Linked DNA regions of Callithrix jacchus. The protein of the gene in region 3 interacts with the protein of the main gene of each other region in a pairwise test. Links are inferred from orthologs where the notes say so. Each region holds a gene or a part of one and is shown on either strand. Other genes may lie near its edges.

Region 1 (5,624 bases), on a different chromosome or scaffold from region 3:
ATTTTCCGTCTTTAATGCTCTCTTTCTTATAGTATCACTGTATACTAATGGAGTTTTTAAAATTCAATTTTTACAATGTGTTACTGTCATTATTCTGTTATTGTTACAATTACCCCAGTTTTGGTCAATGGAAGCCCCTTGCAGCTCTGCTCTTTGGTCCCTTGGATATAACCCCATTTTGTCCTTGCATGCTTGCTTTCATCCTATCATGAAAAAATATCCCAGGCTCATTTTTGTACTCTTGTTGTCCAGGAGGAATAAGCCTTTTCCCCAGTGACCTGTGCCAGCTGTCAGATTTGTGCCTCCCTGCTGCAAATCCATTGCTTCTGCCTTGCTCTGTGATGCTGCTGGAGTTGAATCTTGTAAACATGCTTCCTTTGCCAGCTGGCACAGTGGCAAGCTTTATCAATAGAGGGCACTGGAGGGACACTGCTGTGCACATAGAGCACCTTATGGCACCCACCCTCCAGCCAACTTTCTGCTCAGCTGGCCCGCCCCATGGTTTTCCTTCTTTGCTGGCCTCAGTCTGCTGGAACCTCTGTGGAAAGTCTCTTGTTTTCCAACATGAAGCCACCAGTTGGACCACTGTGGACCAGCTCCAATTCAGGATAACACAGCAGACTTCTCTGCCATCCCTTGGGCTGTGGCTGTACCCTTTCCAGTGAAGTCTGAATCTCAGCTTTGGGGAGACGGCTCCACCTTTTGCAAGTTGTTCCTTAGATGGGCAATCTCAGCCCCATGGTATTGTTAATGTTCTCTTTTGTCCTCTCTGGTTTACCCCCTCTTTCTAGTTATTAATGCTTTAAATTAATTTTTTCCTGTTCAAATTACTGGTCTCTTTTCTGTCTTCTGAATGCACCCTGACTAATAGAGAAATGGCGCAAGGAGCAGTTGTTAAACAGTACCACTATTCAAATAAGCGATTTCAAGATTAACTTGGTCATGCCCTTGGATTTGGGCACAGTGCCAAGCGTGCAGGAACAGCACCATCAATCCAGCCATCACCTGCAGGTGAGTGTGAGAAGTGCCAACTGAAGCAGGTATGCTGGGAACCAAAGGGGCTTCTGCACCTGACTAATGAAATCTACAAGGACTGTGGCATGGCATTGTCTTCTCATCCTTAGAAGAGGTTTCCTCACACCAAGACTGTGAAGTTACTCACTCATATGTTTAATATCTGTATAGCTTCCTTTTAAATCTATTGATTATTTTTTAAATTGATACATAATAGGTGTCCATATTTTGGGGGCACATGTGATGTTTTGGTCCATGCATTTAGTGTATAATGATTCAGTTAGCATGATTGAAATACCCATTTCCTCAAACATTTATCTTTTCTTTATGTTGGGAACTTGAATTCTCATCTTTTAGGGCTTTTAACAAATGTATATACAATAAATTATTTATAGTCACCCTACTCTACTGTCAAATGCTAAATCTTATTTCTTCTACCTAAGTGTATATTTGTACCCGTTAATCAACCTGTCTTCATCTGCCCCTAGCCTTCACCTCTCCACCCTCTGGTGGAACCACCAATTTACAGTATATCTCTACGCGATCCACTTTTCTAGCTCCCATATATGGGTGAGAACACGCGATCTTTGTCTTTTTGTGCCTGTCTTATTTCACTTAACATAATGACCTCCAGTTCCATCCACATTGCTCCAAATGACAGGATTTAATTTCTTTTAATGGCCAAATAGTATTCCATTGTGTTTATATACCATGTTTTACTATTCATCATGAGGGACATTTACACTGATTGCACATCTTGGCTATTACGAATAGTGCTGCAATAAACATGGTAGTTCAGATATCTCTTCCACATACTGATTTCTTTTCTTTTGGTTATATGCTCAGCAATGGGATTGCTAAATAATACAGTAGTTCTATTTTTGTTTTTCTGAGCAGTTCTCCATAAAGTTTTTCATAGTGGCTGTACTAATTTACATTTCTTACCAGTATACGAGTGTCCTTCTTTCCCCAAATCCTGGCCCTGTATCTGTTATTTTTTGTCTCTTTGATAAAAGCCATTTTAAATTGGGTGGGTTGATAACTCATAATGGTTGTGATTTGCATATCCCTGATAATTAGTGAGTGATGTTGAGCATTTTTCCATATACCTGTTGGCCATTTGCACGTCTTCTTTTGAGAAATGTCTATTCATATTTGTACCCATTTTTAATTGGATTATTTGAGTTTTCTTTTCTTTTTCTTGATATTACATTGTTTGAGTTCCTTATGTGTTCTGGATTTTAATTCTTTCTTAGATGCATAGTTTGTGCATGTTTTCTCCTGGCATTTTTGACAACATAGGTGAACCTAGAGGAGGTTAAGTTAAATAAGCCAAGCACCGAAGGACAAGTACTACATGACCTCACTCATATATGGAATCTGGAAAAGTTGACCTCATAGAAGTAGAGAGTAGAATAGTGATTACCAGCAGGAGAGAGAGTAGGAAGGTCGATGGGGGAGGTTAGTCAATGGGTACAAAGTTACAGTTAGCTAGGAGGAATAAATTCTGGTATTCTATTGCACAGTATGTTGATTAGAGTCAATAATAATGTATCATATACTTCAAAATAGCTAGAACATAGGATTGAATATTCTCATTACAAAGAAATGACAAGTGTTTGAGGTGATGGATATGATAATTACCCTTTGATAATTATACAGTGTATGTATGTATCAAAACATCAACACAGTACCCCATAAATATCTACAATTATTATGTATCAATTAAAACCAAAATAAAGCTTTAAAAATGTTACATAGGCAGTAAAAAATGTTATATTTTATTAATTGCTAGACAAGTGTGGGAAAACAAGTAAGCAATTGACACCGCCAAATTCTTATTACATTTGAGATGAAAGATTTATTCACACCACAAAAGAAAGATAATCACAACAAAATATACACTAATTTAAAAAATGAAAGATCATAATGACATAAAATGTTATTTTTTAAGTGTGTAAAAGTATTTTGTTTGCTTCTACATAAATTTCTATTCATAAAAGAATAACAAACATTAAAATACAGTGACAGTTTATATTTCTTCTATAGAATGAACATAGATATAACCCTGAAGCTTTTAGTTTACAGGGAGTTTCTATGACAAACTAAACTAATGATCAAACACATTAGTTATTTCCAGATTCACATAGATACACATTCACCCACTAAACTGAGAAATAAGCATTTCATATTCCCTTTCATTTTGCTATAAAGCATCTTTTCTTTCTACTAAAAGAAAAGTGAGAAATTGTATTTTTTCTTGTTTTAATTGACCTCAGAAGATGCACTATCTAATTCATGGGAAATGCGAAATTTCAGGTGTTTATCTTCTTCCGTACTTTTAGGATCTACAACGAGCAGATCTTCCTGGCTGTGAAATTCATGGCTGTGGAACTCACGGCTGACTTTGGAAACTTCCTGACTATCAATCACATCTGAATGCTCATTGCTCTCATCACTGGCTTTCCGCTTATGTAATCTGGACTGCTCGTGGCTGTGGGTTTCCGCACTTTGGTCATCCAGCTGACTCATTTCATGACTGTCCTTCCCATGGCTGTCCCAATCAGAAGGCACGTTCAGGCTCTGGGCAACAGGGATGGCCTTGTATGCACCATTCAACTCCTCGCTTTCCACGTGTGAGGTGATGTCCTCCTCGGTAGCATCAGGGTACTGAATCACAGCACAAATGAAGAAGAATTATATGAACAGCTAGGGATGGGAATATGGTAATCCTTTTCTGCTCTCTAACATTTAGGCCATCTTGTACTAAAAATTGTCTAAATCTTCCTGAAATAATATTAGCATGTTACTTTGTATAGTACTTTACCAAGCCCTTTCACATATGTTATCTCCTTTAGTTTAATAAGTACATCACTTACTTATGTAATGAAACCTATGAGATAGGTTTGATTATATCTGTTTCACATAAAGAGGAAGTGAATTGGAAGTTAAAAAGTAAAGAGAATAGTAAATGGCAAGTCTATGTCAAATCCAGATTCTCTGACTAAGGATTCAGTGTAATTTGCAACTCTACAATTCCTCTTAGTTATTTAACTTGAAAACATGACCATTATATTTTTAAAATAATTAGTGTTTTCCATTTTTTTAAATCTAAAAGTAAGTGATTCAGGATTTGAAAAAATAGAATTGTGTTTGGGAATCCAATCTAGAGAGGAATTATGTAGACTTACAAAAACCACCAAATAGAAAAAGATTTGTATTCATTGATCATGAAGTAGAATATGAATGAATTCTTGCTGAATGGATGAATGAATGGACAAATGAATGAATGAATATGCAAACTATGGTTTCCTAGACTTGAGCTCTAGTCAGAACCATCAGATATGTCTTTTAAAGGATTTACCTGGATGTCAGATCTGCGAAATTTCTTGGATTTTGATCTCAGTCCATAACCCACACTATCACCTCGGCCATCATATGTGTCTATTGTGGGGACAGGTGGAGTGAAAACTTCAGTTGCTGGCAGGTCCGTGGGAAAATCAGTGACCAGTTCATCGGATTCATCAGAATGGTGAGATTCATCAGACTGGTGAGAATCATCAGTGTGATCTACTTCATCAGAGTCATTCGAGTCCTGGCTGTCCACATGGTCATCATCATCATCATCATCCACATCGTCCATGTCATCATGGCTTTCATTGGACTTACTTGGAAGGGTCTGAAAATTAAGATGACCAGGAAAATTAGCGTATGGGTTTTTATTTTCCCTTAGACTTTATAGCACATTAGTCTTTTACTGTCTTTCTTTTTATTTAGTTTCAGAATCTTTGCATTCATAGTACACTCCATGGCTTTTAGGAGCTAAAGTGAGCATCTTCCAATTTCACTTTTAACACAGGGATAAATAATAACATTCTGAGGAACTTTTCTTACTTTCTAAGAAAAATCATTTTCATAGATATTTTCAAGCCAAATATGTGAGTGTAATCTTCATATTAATAACATTGTTTTTTCTTATACATATTAAACATTATTTAATTTACTAAATTCAATGTTGTAATAGATACAGATACATAATTATGAGACTGATTTTCCTATTTGAAATGAGATTTATCAAAAGAAAAGAGCATTCATATTTTAATGTGTGTACCAAAATCTATAATCACTTCCCTATTAGCATGGATAATCGTAAGCTGACTCTGTTATGCATGTATATATAAACTGCAGCTCAAAACTGTTCATTGAATTAAACAATGTCTATTAAACTTCCAATTGACAAATATATTGAGTCCTTTATCTAACTTGCTTTAATATTCTTAGTATATTCAAAATGAATCTTAAGGAAAATAAATTTACACTTTGCTTAGCAAATATATGAATGATCCTAACAAAAAGAATAGTTGTTGAATAAACTATTTTATTAGGAAAGAAAACTTCCTAAAGGCAAAATCTTAGCTTTGATAGGCATTAATTAGATGCTTACTAGATATTAGATAACTACAAAATACCTTAAATATATTGCAAGCAGCTTAATGTTTCAAATAGCAAGCATTAATAAACATTTCCTGTAATGTAAACTTATCTGAGGAAACCTAGTATTTCTGATATTTAGTAAATAAATGTTTTCTTTCTGAGCAAATTTTAGACTG
Region 2 (6,824 bases), on a different chromosome or scaffold from region 3:
AGACTACAGGATATGCAAGTACACACAAACCATCAATGCTGACAAATACAGCTTTGCTTTATTAAAAAGCTGTATTATTTTATTCTAAGGGTGAAATGAGAGTTTTCTTTTATCTGGTGTTATCTTTTAAATGTTTCTCTATACTTGCATTTCACTTAGAAAAATAATCACAGTATTATGTTAGTTTATATTCTTTATTATTATGGCTGAATGGCTTTTCATATACTTCCTAGACAACTAACTTTCTCTGTAATTTGCTTTTTTTTCTTGGCAAGGTAGAGTGGCTCACACTTATAATCCCAGCATTTTGGGAGGCCGAGGCAGGCCAATAAGCTAGGTATGGTGTTGTGCCAGTAGTCCCAGCTCCTCAGGAGGCTAAAGTGGGAGAATCGCTTGAACCCAGGAGGTCGAGGATACAGTGAGGCCTGATCACACCACTGAACTCCAGCCTGGGTGACAGAGTGAGACTCTGTGTCAAAAAAAAAAAAAAAAAAAAAAAAAACAGACCGGGGTGGCCTTGCTTTCACCCAGGCTGCAGTATAGTGGTGCAATTACAGCTCACTGCAGCCTTGACCTCCTAGGCTCAAGTGATCCTCCTGCCTTGTCCTCCCAAAGTGCTGGGATTATAGGTGTGAGCCACCAGGTGCAGCCATAAACTGCCTTTTTTAACCCATACTTCATTTTTCTACAAAGCTGTATTTTTTTTAACTTATTTATAAGAGGTTGAAACCCAAAATACTAATAAGCCAAAGAAGATAAGAGTATAGCTATCTTAACTGAAAATACCGATAGTTTGTTATTCATTAATTTTTGCATTGATCTCATGTAAAACACTGCATTGAAATATGATATATCCTGCTTACTAAGGTTTCTGGCAATCTTTTAGATTTGTACCCCAACTCCCTAGCCTTGGCTCTACTTGCTACAATTCCTGTGAACTATTTTTCACGTTTGCAGCATGACCCTCCAAAACCCGGCCTGAAAACTGAAAAAACTACCTAATGGCTTGATGTTATGATTCTCAAAAAAAAAAAAAAAAAAAAAAAAATTATTTAAGCAATCATTGGTCACTAACTAAACTGAAAATTATTTTATTAATGAAATCTGGTACTGATTTTCAGAAGACAAGTTACTAAACTTACTCAGCTACAGTTTCTTGCTTAGATGTTTCTTCTCCAGTATTACTGGATACTTCCACACTTTGATCCTGAATAGCAGGGGTACTAGTAAGTTGTGCTTGTTCCTCAGTTGAAATAGTTACTGTATTCTCATTATCTACAACAGTAGCAACAATGGAAGTAACTTCTGGCTCAGGAACAACTGGAACAGTTCCACTGACAGTATTAGAAGTAGAAGTGGAAGCATTAGCATTGGCTGCAGCAGCAGCTGCTGCAGCTGCTGCTGCAGCTGCAACAACAGCAGCTGCTGCTTCTGCTGCAGCCATGGTGCTCATTGTCGTCGGAATTTCTGTTGTAGGGACTGGGGCTGTTGATGTTGTGGTGCACTCTTCTTGCTTACTATACATTAAAAAAAGAGAACAATGGTCACTTGGTTATTGTAATCAGAAAGATAAATCAAGCTTGCTTTAAAATTGTCATAAAATCAAATGATTTAAGAGAAATAACTGAAGGAAAAAACAGCAAGAAATGCCAAACCCATTAAAAAAAAATTTTTAAATCAGACTGTAACTATACTACTTTGACTTCATTCAGTAAACATTCATGGTAATGTATTACAGGAACTCACACAAGTGTGTGCATTTCTAAAAGTTCAGTCAGCGCTCACATTACAAAATGCCCAATCTATCAGATTGTATCTCACCATAAAAATCTGACCTATATGAAAAGTTCTCTAAGAACTTTAAATTTTCTACAATCCACTCATTTAGAGGAAACGCTGTGTAAAGGAAGAGAAACACAGATATATTTCATCTACTCCCTAATCAACTCAAATTGAATTTTGGGCTTTAACCTAACAGTCTTAATTTGCAAGTGATACAGTCCAAATTCTAATAATTAATGTATAGCAAAGCATCAAATTGAGTAAGTATCCCTCTTCGTAATATTTTCTCAACGAAATGCAAAAAGGAGATCAAAATATCAAACCTAACATGTTAAATAATTATTTTTATTATAAAGAAAACTGAGCAAACAGAAGGATGTTATAAGAGAGACCAAATTTGTAAATAAAAATTGATGTCCAAAATTGCTTACCTGCTTTCTTCAGCTTTGATCATTGCTATTAAAGAGAGAAAAAGAGTCATCAACTAGTTTTAAAATATAATCCTGAAAATAAACTTAAAAGAAGATAAGATACCATATAATAGGATTTCATTTGCCATCCTAAAAAACAGAAAATCACTTTTATAGAACAAATTCTTGCTCCAATGTTCTAGTATAGCAAATAAAGACTAAAACAAATTTAAATAATAATTACTAGGAAAGCTTATTTCATGCTGCTACTTTCCCAAAGGCTGCTGTAACAACTCTATGAAAGTATCTGCATAATTCTGGAAGAAAACAGTATTTTCTCCAGGGATGAGACTAGTTTGATATATTTTAAAGATACTAACTTCAAAATGGGATCAAATTTATTACAAAATTCCAGCACATATATACTAGCATTGACAAGTAGATAGATAGTTATGCACACCAACTATTCGTAGTAGGGTTATATCAGAAATGAGCTTGATACTTCATAAGTGATCAACTGGGAAACTACCTATCTACAATATTATTGTTAGCCAATGCTAGTATAGGTAACTTAAACTGAGCTTTAAAGATCTGTATTATTTTGGTTTTCATTCCAGTATATTTTCCTTCAGATGTAACAAAAATATGTTTTATTCGACATCATTAGGGAATGAGATTCTCCACATTAAGTGATAATGTAAGCCTAACTCTTTATAAAAATATTTTAAAACTTACCACCCTTTAAAGAAAAACATTTCTGAAAATCTGTTTAGGATGGCTGAAAAAACATACTTAAAAAGTTATCACTACTAATATAATTAACATTTTTCTGATACAATGATAATCTAACTAATGAGGTCGCACAAAGACGACAGTGTCTTCTAGGAAATTTTTATTACCTTTCCTGCCAGATGTCATTCCACATCACTATCTACTTTATTAGCCCCATTCTCCTACAGTCTGCTGCTTCTAATTCGGTATATTTTATGACACTAGATTCTATCAAAAGTGAGTATGAAAACTAGATTTTCAATTCTTACTCATTATCTCTATTTTAAGTCTTAGGTTTTATATTTAGTATTAGGTATTTCTAGGTTTTTAAGGGTTATTCTGATTAGTTCAATGTTGAAAAATTCTCCCTTTATAAGAAAGGTGGGATACTTGGTTTACCTTAATTCTTCCATAACGAACATATCAAGGTTATTTTGCAACGTAAAGCTAAAACAAAACCAGCATTAAATATATAGTCTGACAATATACTAACAAAATATAAATGGATAAAGATTCAAGGATCTCTACTATGTACTCATGAATGAGTTAAAAACAAATATTCTATGCACCAACACTCGTAGTAGGATTTAGAAATTTTGTATATGAAATCCTTGTTCAATTGAATGATAAACAATTTTTTTCTAAAAATCAGAGTACAATTTTAAAAGCTACAAGCTCATTTATAATATAACCCTTTAATGAAAGGAATTCTTAGATTTTTTTCACTGCAGATTTATCCAATCATGGTTAGTGAATATTAGTGACATACTCTAATAAAAACGTTAGGTATGACAGAAAATGAATTATCAAAGCAGCTCACCATGCAGGTTTGATTTTGTAATAAGACTTCCAGCAACAATGGTATTCTGGTATCCTAGTTTCAGTGGAATCAAATCAAATAAAAATCTATTTAAAATCTATAAACTGAGATCTAGAGCAACAAGAAAATAAGAGCCCAACAAACTGTTATATCATTTTAAATGTTTTAATCATTTAATTTAAAAAAAAAGGCCTTTGTTTGAACAATCCTATTGTGGAGGAATTGTTTCAAAGTGAATGGCATACATATATAAAAGATATACATTAAAACTACTTTTTCCCATTTTACCTTCAAGATCCTCAAGTTCTTTAGGTTTGGCCCAGCGAGATTCTTTTGTTTGAGAATTATAATAGTAAGGCTTTCCAGAATCTGATTTGTATTCCTTCCAGGGGCATTTAGATAAGAGTTGCTAAAGAGAAAAAAAAAAACCTGTCTGTTAATAATAATATATTTAGCATCACTATCATTTTCATGTCTATTTTCACTAATTACCAATTATGATATAATTCTAAAACTTGTGAAATGATGCGAATAATATAAACTATCAATTACTGAATACTCAGAGTGATGTCATTTGCATATATTATTTAATCTTTGTAACACTGCAAAATGTATGACATAATTCCATATCTAGGGACTGTTACTTGAAGTCAGAAAGTAATGCGTTTAAGGTAATACACTCATTAAAAAGCAGAACCAAGATTCAAAATCAGTTGTATATAAATTTCAAATCCTATTTACTCTTATCATTCACACCCCATTACAGGTAAAGATTATCATCCATATTTAATAGTCTTCTCAAATACTAACATTAGTTGGAAAACCACAAAAGTTGGAAAAAGACAGTATCTAGTTTAGTCATGCTCAGATTTCAGTTTTGTAGTTTATTATAACTCTGTATGAACTAACTTATGTAAGCAAACATGTAGGTATAATATACTTAAAATCTAATACACAAAACCTGTTAGGGTGGCATGAGAAATCTATCCAAAGGTTGTATCCAGACACAGTGTCTTGGACAAAGTACAGAATTAATATTGACTATTAATCAGTACTGGAATACATGTTTTTAAAAATCTACCATACCAACCTCCCCTCCCAAGCATTGCTGTATCAGTGTGGGGACCTGGAGAATACTCTTACCTTCTCCAATTCCTTCATTAGGAAGAGAAGAAAACAAAAAGGTATACCACCAGCTACAATGAAACCTAAGCACAGCAATCTTAAATGCCAGATCAACTCTTACTTACTTAGCACCCCAGAGTTTCTAACTAAACCACATGCAACATTGCTTAATTCAGTTTATTTCTTCAACCTTAACTCTTTCTTCAGTATCTGTACATTTTGAATGGTAAAAATTAAAACACAGAATGAAATAAGACACTTTTCAAAACAGCATTTCCTGCAAAGAGAAAATCTCCCACTCTAAGAGAAGGTACTTTAAGGTAACTTAACTTCATTCATCTTCACTACTCTTAACCCTACCGGAAATTTAAAAACTCAGTAGAAGTCACTTAAAATCACCCAGTTTCGCTACAAACAGAAAAAAATAAAGGGCGAGCAAAGAAACAGTCTTCCCGCTTCCAATTTATTCTTTAAATCACATTTCTTAAATTGATCTCATTCTACTACGTTTCCTGAGCAGGGGCAAAATTACTAAATAAGATTAATCTGATGAGTTTTATTGCTCTTCTTCCTGATCAGCTTGACTACATTAATCCTCTTTTTTTTCCTGAATGCCTTTACAGATCCTCTTCTGGCATTTAAGCAATACTGCTCTTTGGATAGTCAACTACTTACAAAATCCTAAAAAAATATGTCCCAGTTGACTTGACGGTTCCTGAGTTCTAGTCCTCAAAACTTTTACCTCAGCAGGTGTTTTAAGATCATCCGGTTTCTCCCAGGTAGACTGTTTGGTTTCAGTGTTGTAGTAGTAAGTCCTTCCATCAGGTGATTTATGTTCAGTCCACATAGATTTCTAAAGATTAAAGATTACAAAAAGATATAAATTATTTAACAATGCTACTGACAATGAATATCAATATCATTAGTTCCAAGGCAATAAATATATTAGGAAATCAATTAAAAGTATAAACTGGGCATATTTTGACAGTCAGGATCTCTCTAAATAACAAAGATAAGACTACTCTCCTAAGAATAGTAACTTTATAACTTACATACACAAAACAGTCTTTCAGAATATAAATCTAAGCCTAGTGTATAAAAGAAAATATAGGAACTAGATGCCAATATAGTTGAATTGACCATGTGATCATCTATTCATCTACTCTAGTCCAAAAAATACTTGTATCATCTTAGACAAAGTTCTAATTGACATGCCATAAAGACACAGCTGTACAAACTGGAAAACATAGGTACTGGACAACAATCAAAATTTAACTATCAACAAGATGAAATTTAACATGGATAAAATGTGTATGTGAATGCCTCAAAACCATAAAGGTAAGATAAGATTTTACATGAATGAAACTGGTTTGATATAGAATATAAATCCACTATTAAGGTCAACAGAACACACAAAGAACCTACTAGAAGTTGCCAATGATACTTCAGGAAACTCTAGACATCCCTCAGATAAAGGTTGGTTAAAAGTTTTAAAAGGCATCATGAATGAATCAATGATGTTATCAAAGGCAGTAAATCTACTTCCAAGTAAAAGATTTTTCAGATGGTGACAAATTTTACTATGCTTGAAGGAGGGTTACAAAAATGATGTATAGTATTTCTTCAAATTTAAGACATATGATTATACAAACCTTTAAGAAAAAATAAAGTCACTGCCAAATGATCACATGCTTTTTTATCACTCAGATTTTACTTCAAACTTACTGATAGTCTTACTTACACATTAATTTTAACATATACCACTTTTAGGCATGCGTTAACAAGAAAAATAGGCAAATGAAGCACTTAAGAGATCCCTTATATTTCCTCACATTGAGACTTTCTATGTCAGAGTTGCTGATGTCCATTATATTCCAAATATAACCATCAAATATATTGGTAATATGGTATATCTT
Region 3 (7,279 bases):
TGAATACACAAGTGGACAAATCAATGTAGGACAAGGAAGGAAAGGCTGAGCAGGGCATGGCTGGGCACCAGTGTCCTCCAGCTCTCCAGCCCTCTCATACCCACCTGCCTCATGAGTTCAGGGTTGTTGAGCATGTGGCTGATCTCGGGGTTCCGCTCCATCAGCTGCTGCATCTGGGGGTTGGCCATGATCATGTGACGCATCAGGTCAGGGTTCGACATCATATCCTGGACCAGGGGGTTCTCCATGATCTGTGACAGCATCTCAGGATTGGACATCAGCTGCCTCTGCATCTGCTGCTGCAGCTCCATAAAGTTGGCAGAGCCCAGGCCCAGGCTGCCCAGCCCCAGGATGCCCCCAAAGCCAGCTGTGGGAAGGGGGCAGGGTCACAGTCTGCCACAAGAGCCCATTCCTCTCCTAGCCAGAGCTACTGAATTCAGGTCTCCATGACAGGCCCCAAATGCTTCTCACACGTCCCTCTTCCAATCACTCCCACAGCCCGGCCCTGATCCATTGCTGGCAAAAAAATGTGAGCCTACTAGGCTGAGACCTCTCTGAAGGCTGAGGCTGTGCCAAACACAGAACTGAGCAGAGAGAAGGCAACCAGCAATGGTTGAATGAGTAGCCCATCTGGCTACTGCTGGATCCAACTTTTCCCCAGACTCACAGGGTCTTCCACTCTCTTTACCCAGGGTTCTCCACATCCCCAACCCCATTTCTCCCCCAACTCCTAACTCTTAGCCATTGTCCCCACCTCTGGGAACTCCTCAGACTAGTTTCCTTCCCAGCTTGAATCAAATATCAATGTCTGAAACTCTATGGAGTCCCCTATCCCCATCAGAGCAGGGGCAGGAACCATGCTTCTCCCTCCTCTAGGCGTTCCCCAACTCCCCAACCCCAAACAAGATTGTGTTCTCCTCTCTGAGGGCTTACACAGTATGGACGCAGTAGCACTGGGGGGTCCCTCTCCAGCCCCTGGAGAGGGCCCCCCCCCACTGCTCCTCCGGCTTCCACCGCCAGCATCCGAAGAGGCACTGCCAGAGGTGGAGGGCTGTGCAGGGGTGGCGGGTGAAGCAGGCGTGGTGGAGGGTGCTGAGGCAGGGTCAGGTGTGGAAGGGGAGGAAGCAGTGGCAGCGGCTGGATCTTGAGCCCTGAGGACAGAGAAAGGAGAATCCTAGTTGGAGTGAGCACTAGAAGAGGGAAGGTACTGGGACAATCTCTGTGCTTGCCATGGGACTACTGTTTTAACCCAAGCCTCCTCCTGAGCAGCCTTGATGCTGGGGCTGGGGGATGGCTGAGGGGCAGTCAGCACACCAGGGAGAGGGAGAAAGCAGCTACTATTATCTGTCTTCAGGGCATTCTGGGAGTGGTAAATCAGCTTCTCCTCCCCTAGAGATGAGATCATATTCATCTAGGAGCTACCTGCTGGGGCCTCAGCATAGATAGGCCTTCTGGGTACAGCTGAGCAATGAGTGAGAAAGTATCAGACTGGGAGGCCCAGTGAGAAGCTGGATCTGCTCTGCTCCTGAACTTACTTCTGAGGGGTCTTGATGACCAGATGGACAGTGAGCCCGTCCTTGATTCCATGCTGGTTCAGTGTGTCCCCATCCTTGAGGATCTTGCCTGCGAAGATCAGGACCAGCTGATCCTGCTGAGCCTTAAACCTCCGGGAGATTTCCTCTTTGAACTGTGATCAAGAGGCAGAGGTCACTGTGGAGGCTGCCTGGACTCGCCCTACCAGGGACCCTGACTCTTTAACAGCTTCTGTACTCTCTTGCTCTCATCTCTAGTCATGGGAAGTCCTTTCTTTCTTTCTTTTTTTTTTTTTTTGAGACAGAGTTTCACTCTTGTTACCCAGGCTGGAGTGCAATGGCGCAATCTCGGCTCACCGCAACCTCCGCCTCCTGGGTTCAGGCAATTCTCCTGCCTCAGCCTCCTGAGTAGCTGGGATTACAGGCACGCGCCACTGTGCCCAGCTAATTTTTTTGTATTTTTAGTAGAGACGGGGTTTCACCATGTTGACCAGGATGGTCTTGATCTCTTGACCTTGTGATCCACCCGCCTCAGCCTCCCAAAGTGCTGGGATTACAGGCGTGAGCCACCATGCCCGGCTGGGAAGTTCTTTCATGGGAAGTCGTTTCTGTGGTCTCAACACCATTCCTCCAGCTGTAATAAGCATCTCCTTTCTTAACAAAGGAGATGGACCAGTGAGAGGCTCTTGTCTCCCACTGTAGAAAGCCCTTGCTGCTATCTGCCTCCCAGCTTAAGTCCCTCCACCTAGTTCTCTGTGAGGCAGGGCAGCCTCCCCATTCCCCCTCAACGTCCCCCCGGCCCCGTCTCAACTAGGTCAACAGCCTTGGACCTTTAGCCTTCTGAGACCCAATTTTCTCTCCTCTCTATTCCCAGTGTTCTTGTAACAACTACAACAAGTAGATGCCAGCTACTGAGCACTATCTATGCACGAGTTAAAGATCTAGTATATTAATTATTATCTTCATTTTATTTATTGTTATATTTATCTTGAGATCTTGCTCTGTCACCCACGCTGGAGTGCAGTGGTGCGATCTTGGCTCACTGCAACCTCCATCTCCCGGGTGCAAGTGATTCTCCTGCGTCAGCCTCCCGAGTGGCTGGGACTACAAGCACACACCACCATGCCCGGCTTAATTTTGTATTTTTAGTAGAGAGGGGGCTTCACCATGTTGGCCAGGCAGGTCTTGAACTCCTGACCTCAGGTGATCACCAGGCTTGGGCTTCCAAAGTGCTGAGATTACAGGCAAGAGCCATCACGCCAGCCTCAAAGAATCAGCAAGATAAGGTAACTTGCCCTAGGCAGAACAGAACTCAAAGCTTGACACCAAAGTCCAGGCTCTCACCTAAACACACTACCTCTCAATGAAAGCCGTTTTCAAATTCGGCTTTGCAAGGAACAGTACGGTATTTAAATTCTGAAATTTAGTAATTCTCTGTGGTTAGGGAGGGAGAAAAGATGGAGTTAGACTCCCCAAATTCTATTGGCCCCTCCACAACACAACACAACACAACACAACACAACACACACTTTAAGTAAAAACAGTGCACTTGTTAAGCAGAGGCAGCTTCCAGATCCCTCTCTTCCAACCAGATGGCCTGTCTTAAGCCCCGCCTATGTGAAATTATGGAGTGGCCACAGGGGGTGGCGAACACAGGCAACAGTCCCTCATTCAACAAGATTTTATTGAGCACCTACTGCACACCGTGTAAATCTCAGAAGAGCTGAGAACCAAATGTAACCACGTCGATTTGAAAGAGTGGGAAGGATCTGGGCACAGGGAAATCCTCCCCCGACAGCCCCGCCGCTCACAGAACACTGGGCGTTCTCTGAGGCACCGAGTAGGCGCCGGCGCTCTTCGCCAGCCCCCGGCCACTTCTCTCGGTTAGCACCTTGCCGCGGCCTCCACTCGGGTACACTCCCCTCAAACCCAGGATCCTTCCCTCTTCCCGGTGCAAAGTGTCCCCTCCTCACTCTCCACCACGCCCCCAGCCCAGGCCACACGGCAAAACCCGCCCCTCAACACGCGCCACGCTCCCCTAGATCTCCCCTCGCAGGGCGCCCCCTACCCGCCTCTCCCTTCCTCCAGCTCCACGGAGTCCCAGCTGGCCCTCGCCCTCCTCTCCGGGGCCCTCCGGGACGCCAGAACCTCAGGGAGGGCCCCCCATCTCTTCACAGACCCCTCCTCCGCGCTCCCTCCGCCCCCCGCCAGCCGTACTACCTCCTTGACCGAGGCTCGATCGCAGATTACAATTTCCTCCTTGTCCTTGGGGGTCTTGACGGTGACCCGAATGGGGGGCCTCGTCTCGGCCCCGCTCGGCTCCGCCATGCCGCCGCCGCCGCCACCCGGCCGCCCGCCAGCCCGTCCAGCTCCTCCTCCTCCCCGCCCGCCCGGCCAGCCCGGCTCGGCTCCAGCGCCTCCAACACTCCCCTCTCTCCACCTCTCCCCTTCCTCCCCTCCTCTCTCCTCCCCTCCCCGAGGCTTCACCGCCCCCTCCGGACCAGCCGCAGCCACAGCGCCCCGGGCGGACCGGGGGGGCCACTGCAGCGGGTTCCGCCCAGGGCCGAGCCCCGGGTCCGGAGCCAGGCCCGGGGCTCGCCAGGCTGGGGCCCCTGGGGGGCGCTCTGGGCATGGGGAGGGGCGTGCCCTTCACTGCGGGGGCGGGGACGGACTCCTCGGGGAGACAGAGGCCCAACGCTGCCCGCCAGAGCCGTGCCGCGGTCCCTTCCAGCCCAAAGCTTCCCCGCCCCCTCCGCGTCTAACTCCGCTCCGGGACAAAGGACTTTCTGTGTCGCCGCTTTATCTCCATTCCCTGTAATAACTTGGTCTTTCTTGGAAGCCCAAAGTCCTTTCCAGGCCAGGGGCCTTTCCCGACCTGGAGGTTGGGTTTTCCCACCAAGTTAAGTCCTTAGGATCTTAGCTCTGGGACTGACCCTATAGCTCCGAGGGTCACGGCCTAACTGGTCTATTAAGAATGGTTCCAGGGAGTTGGGTTTTGGCTGCGTGGCCTTTCTGAGCCTTGGTTTTCTCAAGATAATAGTAACAGTTCCCCTCGCCTCATCGCACAAAATTGTGCATAACGGAGAAAACTGTTTTGAAAGTAACCAAAGGCATGCCTGACAAATATAAGGATGTAGTCTAATTATTGAATCGTGGACTGCCAAGCGGACACGTTGACTCCTTTCTCCCCGAAGGAGTTAAATGTCCTTCCAGTGCTGCCACTGTCCTTCCACTCCCGCTCTTTTTGCCCCCCGCAACCGCGTGGTCAGCCTGGAAAGGCGAACTATAGTTCCCAGGGTGCCTCGCGAGGCCACAAGGAACTACGATTCCCAGAGCCGCCCGCGGCGGGGTGGGGAGTTGAGTCGGAACTACAATAACCAGGCGAGGAAACTACAACTCCCAGGGCGTTTGGAAGCAGGCCACGGGACTACGGGAAGCAGAAGTCAGCGGCTCGCGGGAGGCACCTCGGAGGATCTGGGTGCAAAAGCCCAGGGTTAGAAGCCGTAGGCATGTTGCGCCCCAAGGCTTTAACCCAGGTGCTAAGCCAAGCCAACACTGGAGGAGTCCAGAGCACCCTGTGAGTGCGGACCACGGACCCGAGCGGCCAGCCCCGTAGTTGGGCTGCGCGCGGCTCCCTGAGGGAGGGGTGGGGAAGGATCGCCGGGAAGGGAGGAGGCGGCAGAGCGGGCAGCGGCTGGGAGTGCTGGCCAGTAGATACCCTCTCGAAAAGGGAAGCCGGTGTGCTGGGTGCTTAGGGCGCGTTCCAGGACACACTAAGCCCAGACCCTTGCTGGCTGTGCTAGTGGTGGGACTTGGGCTGGAAACCCAGGCGTTTTACTCTCTGTCCTGGGCACAACGTTATCCTTCCCCGCCCCTCACCAGGCTGCTGAATAACGAGGGATCACTGCTGGCCTACTCGGGTTACGGGGACACTGACGCTCGGGTCACTGCGGCCATAGCCAGTAACATCTGGGCCGCCTACGACCGGAATGGGAACCAAGCGTTTAATGAAGACAATCTCAAATTCATCCTCATGGACTGCATGGTATGGAGAGGGAAGCCAGACTTCCCCTGCCCCCCAAGGGGATCCCAAGGGGGTGACCCGGACCCCATCCTGGATGGTTGGAGGGGCAGGGACAGTGTCTCCGGAAGATTACTAAGAGTTGGTCTGCAGCAGCATTCGTAATAGGCAGGACCCTATTCATCAAATGGTGGTGAGGAAGGAGCCCTGGACCTGAGAGGTCTGACTTGGGTTCTGGTTTCAGCCATCCACTTATCAGTTGTGGAACCTTGGGTAAGTCGCCTAACCTCTCTCAGCTTCCTTACCTCATGTCTAAGGAGGAAGCAGCTATTTCCCTTTTCCCGCTCCCCTCCTGGATGGTTGTGAAGATCGGATGAAATAATGGGTATAAACAGTAGAACGATGTGCAAACACGAAGTGTTGTCATCCCAGCCTCGCCGACTCACAGAACCATGGTGGTCTCCAGACCCTAGTCCAACCCCTCACGGTTACAAACAAGGGAAAATGAAGTCCAGAAAGGGGAAGTTGCCGTTAGCTTGTGAACCTCTTAGTATCTGTTTAGTCAATAAGTATTTAGGTCCTTGTAGTGTTCTCAGGACTAGGGAAAAAAATAGCAAACAGAAAGGCAAAACCCCCAGCCCTAATAAATCTTAACAGTGATACAATAATGGCTCACTGCAGCCTCGACCTCCCTGGGCTCAGGTGATCTTCCTGTCTCAGCCTCTTAAGTAGCTGGAAGTACAAGCATCCACTACCACACCTCCCTAATTTTTGCATTTTTTGCAGAGATTGGGTTTTGCCATGTTGCCCGGGCTGGTCTCGATCTCTTGGCTCAAGTGATCCACCTGCCTCAGCCTCCCAAAGTGCTGGGATTACAGGCATGAGCCACTGTGCCCGGCCACATTATTTAAAATAAGTAAAATATGTAGTATGTTAGGTATTGAAAATGCAATGTAAGGCCGGGCGCAGTGGCTCACGCCTGTAATCCCAGCACTTTGGGAGGCTGAGGCAGGTGGATCTCGAGGTCAAGAGATCGAGACCATCCTGGTCAAAGAGGTGAAACCCTGTGTCTACTAAAAATACAAAAATTAGCTGGGCATGGTAGCGCGCGCCTGTAGTCCCAGCTACTTGGGAGGCTGAGGTAGGAGAATTGCTTGAACTCAGGAGGCGGAGGCTGCGGTGAGCCGAGATCGTGCCATTGCACTCCAGTCTGGGTAACAATAGCGAAACTCCGTATCAAAAAAAAAAAAAAAAGAAAAGAAAATGCAATGTAAAGAAAGGAGGGAAGTGAAAGTATGAGTTTGTTGGGTGTATGTGTCAGAGACAGTCTCACTGAAAAGGTGACATTTGATCAAAGATCTGAAGAAAGGTCATGGCAAGCCATGTGGCTATCTAGGGGAAGAATATTTTGGACAGAACAGCAAGCACGAAGGCCTTGAGGCAGAATTGTGCCTGCCCAAGGATCAACAGAGTTGGTTGGTATGGCTGGAGCTGCATGAAAATGAATGGAGGGTGGTAGGAGATGGTGTCAGAGAGGCAGAGAGTGCAGTGCTTGGTTTCCCGCGTAGAATGAATACCTAGTAAAAATTTGTTGAACTTACTTTTTTTTTTTTCCATATCGGCCAGAGGGTGAACTCTCTAGGAAGGGTCTTCATTGTAACCCAGCTGCTATTCTCTTCTGCCACCTGCACAACCAATGCTATTTTAGTTCAACATATGACGCTTA

What was found.
Region 1: the proteins of UBQLN4 (region 3) and SPP1 interact in a two-hybrid assay, tested with the Homo sapiens proteins (2 studies listed by BioGRID and IntAct). The link is inferred for Callithrix jacchus from reciprocal best matches to the Homo sapiens genes UBQLN4 and SPP1.
Region 2: the proteins of UBQLN4 (region 3) and PRPF40A interact in a two-hybrid assay, tested with the Homo sapiens proteins (2 studies listed by BioGRID and IntAct). The link is inferred for Callithrix jacchus from reciprocal best matches to the Homo sapiens genes UBQLN4 and PRPF40A.

Annotation. Positions count from the first base shown.
Region 1 is NC_133504.1:109,662,596-109,668,219, forward strand, and holds the end of SPP1 (osteopontin), read right to left. Parts: intron 4,694-5,624; coding exon 4,379-4,693; intron 3,685-4,378; coding exon 3,280-3,684; 3' UTR 2,771-3,279; downstream 1-2,770. UniProt on the Homo sapiens protein: Major non-collagenous bone protein that binds tightly to hydroxyapatite. Appears to form an integral part of the mineralized matrix. Probably important to cell-matrix interaction.
Region 2 is NC_133507.1:77,395,571-77,402,394, reverse strand, and holds part of PRPF40A (pre-mRNA-processing factor 40 homolog A), read right to left. Parts: intron 5,762-6,824; coding exon 5,651-5,761; intron 4,193-5,650; coding exon 4,072-4,192; intron 3,838-4,071; coding exon 3,784-3,837; intron 2,239-3,783; coding exon 2,214-2,238; intron 1,518-2,213; coding exon 1,143-1,517; intron 1-1,142.
Region 3 is NC_133519.1:16,437,747-16,445,025, forward strand, and holds the start of UBQLN4 (ubiquilin-4), read right to left. Parts: upstream 4,267-7,279; 5' UTR 4,165-4,266; coding exon 3,753-4,164; intron 1,688-3,752; coding exon of another isoform or gene 1,624-1,687; coding exon 1,536-1,623; intron 1,152-1,535; coding exon 934-1,151; intron 368-933; coding exon 105-367; intron 1-104. Other genes in the region: ragulator complex protein LAMTOR2, read left to right, coding at 5,042-5,109, 5,415-5,577. UniProt on the Homo sapiens protein: Regulator of protein degradation that mediates the proteasomal targeting of misfolded, mislocalized or accumulated proteins.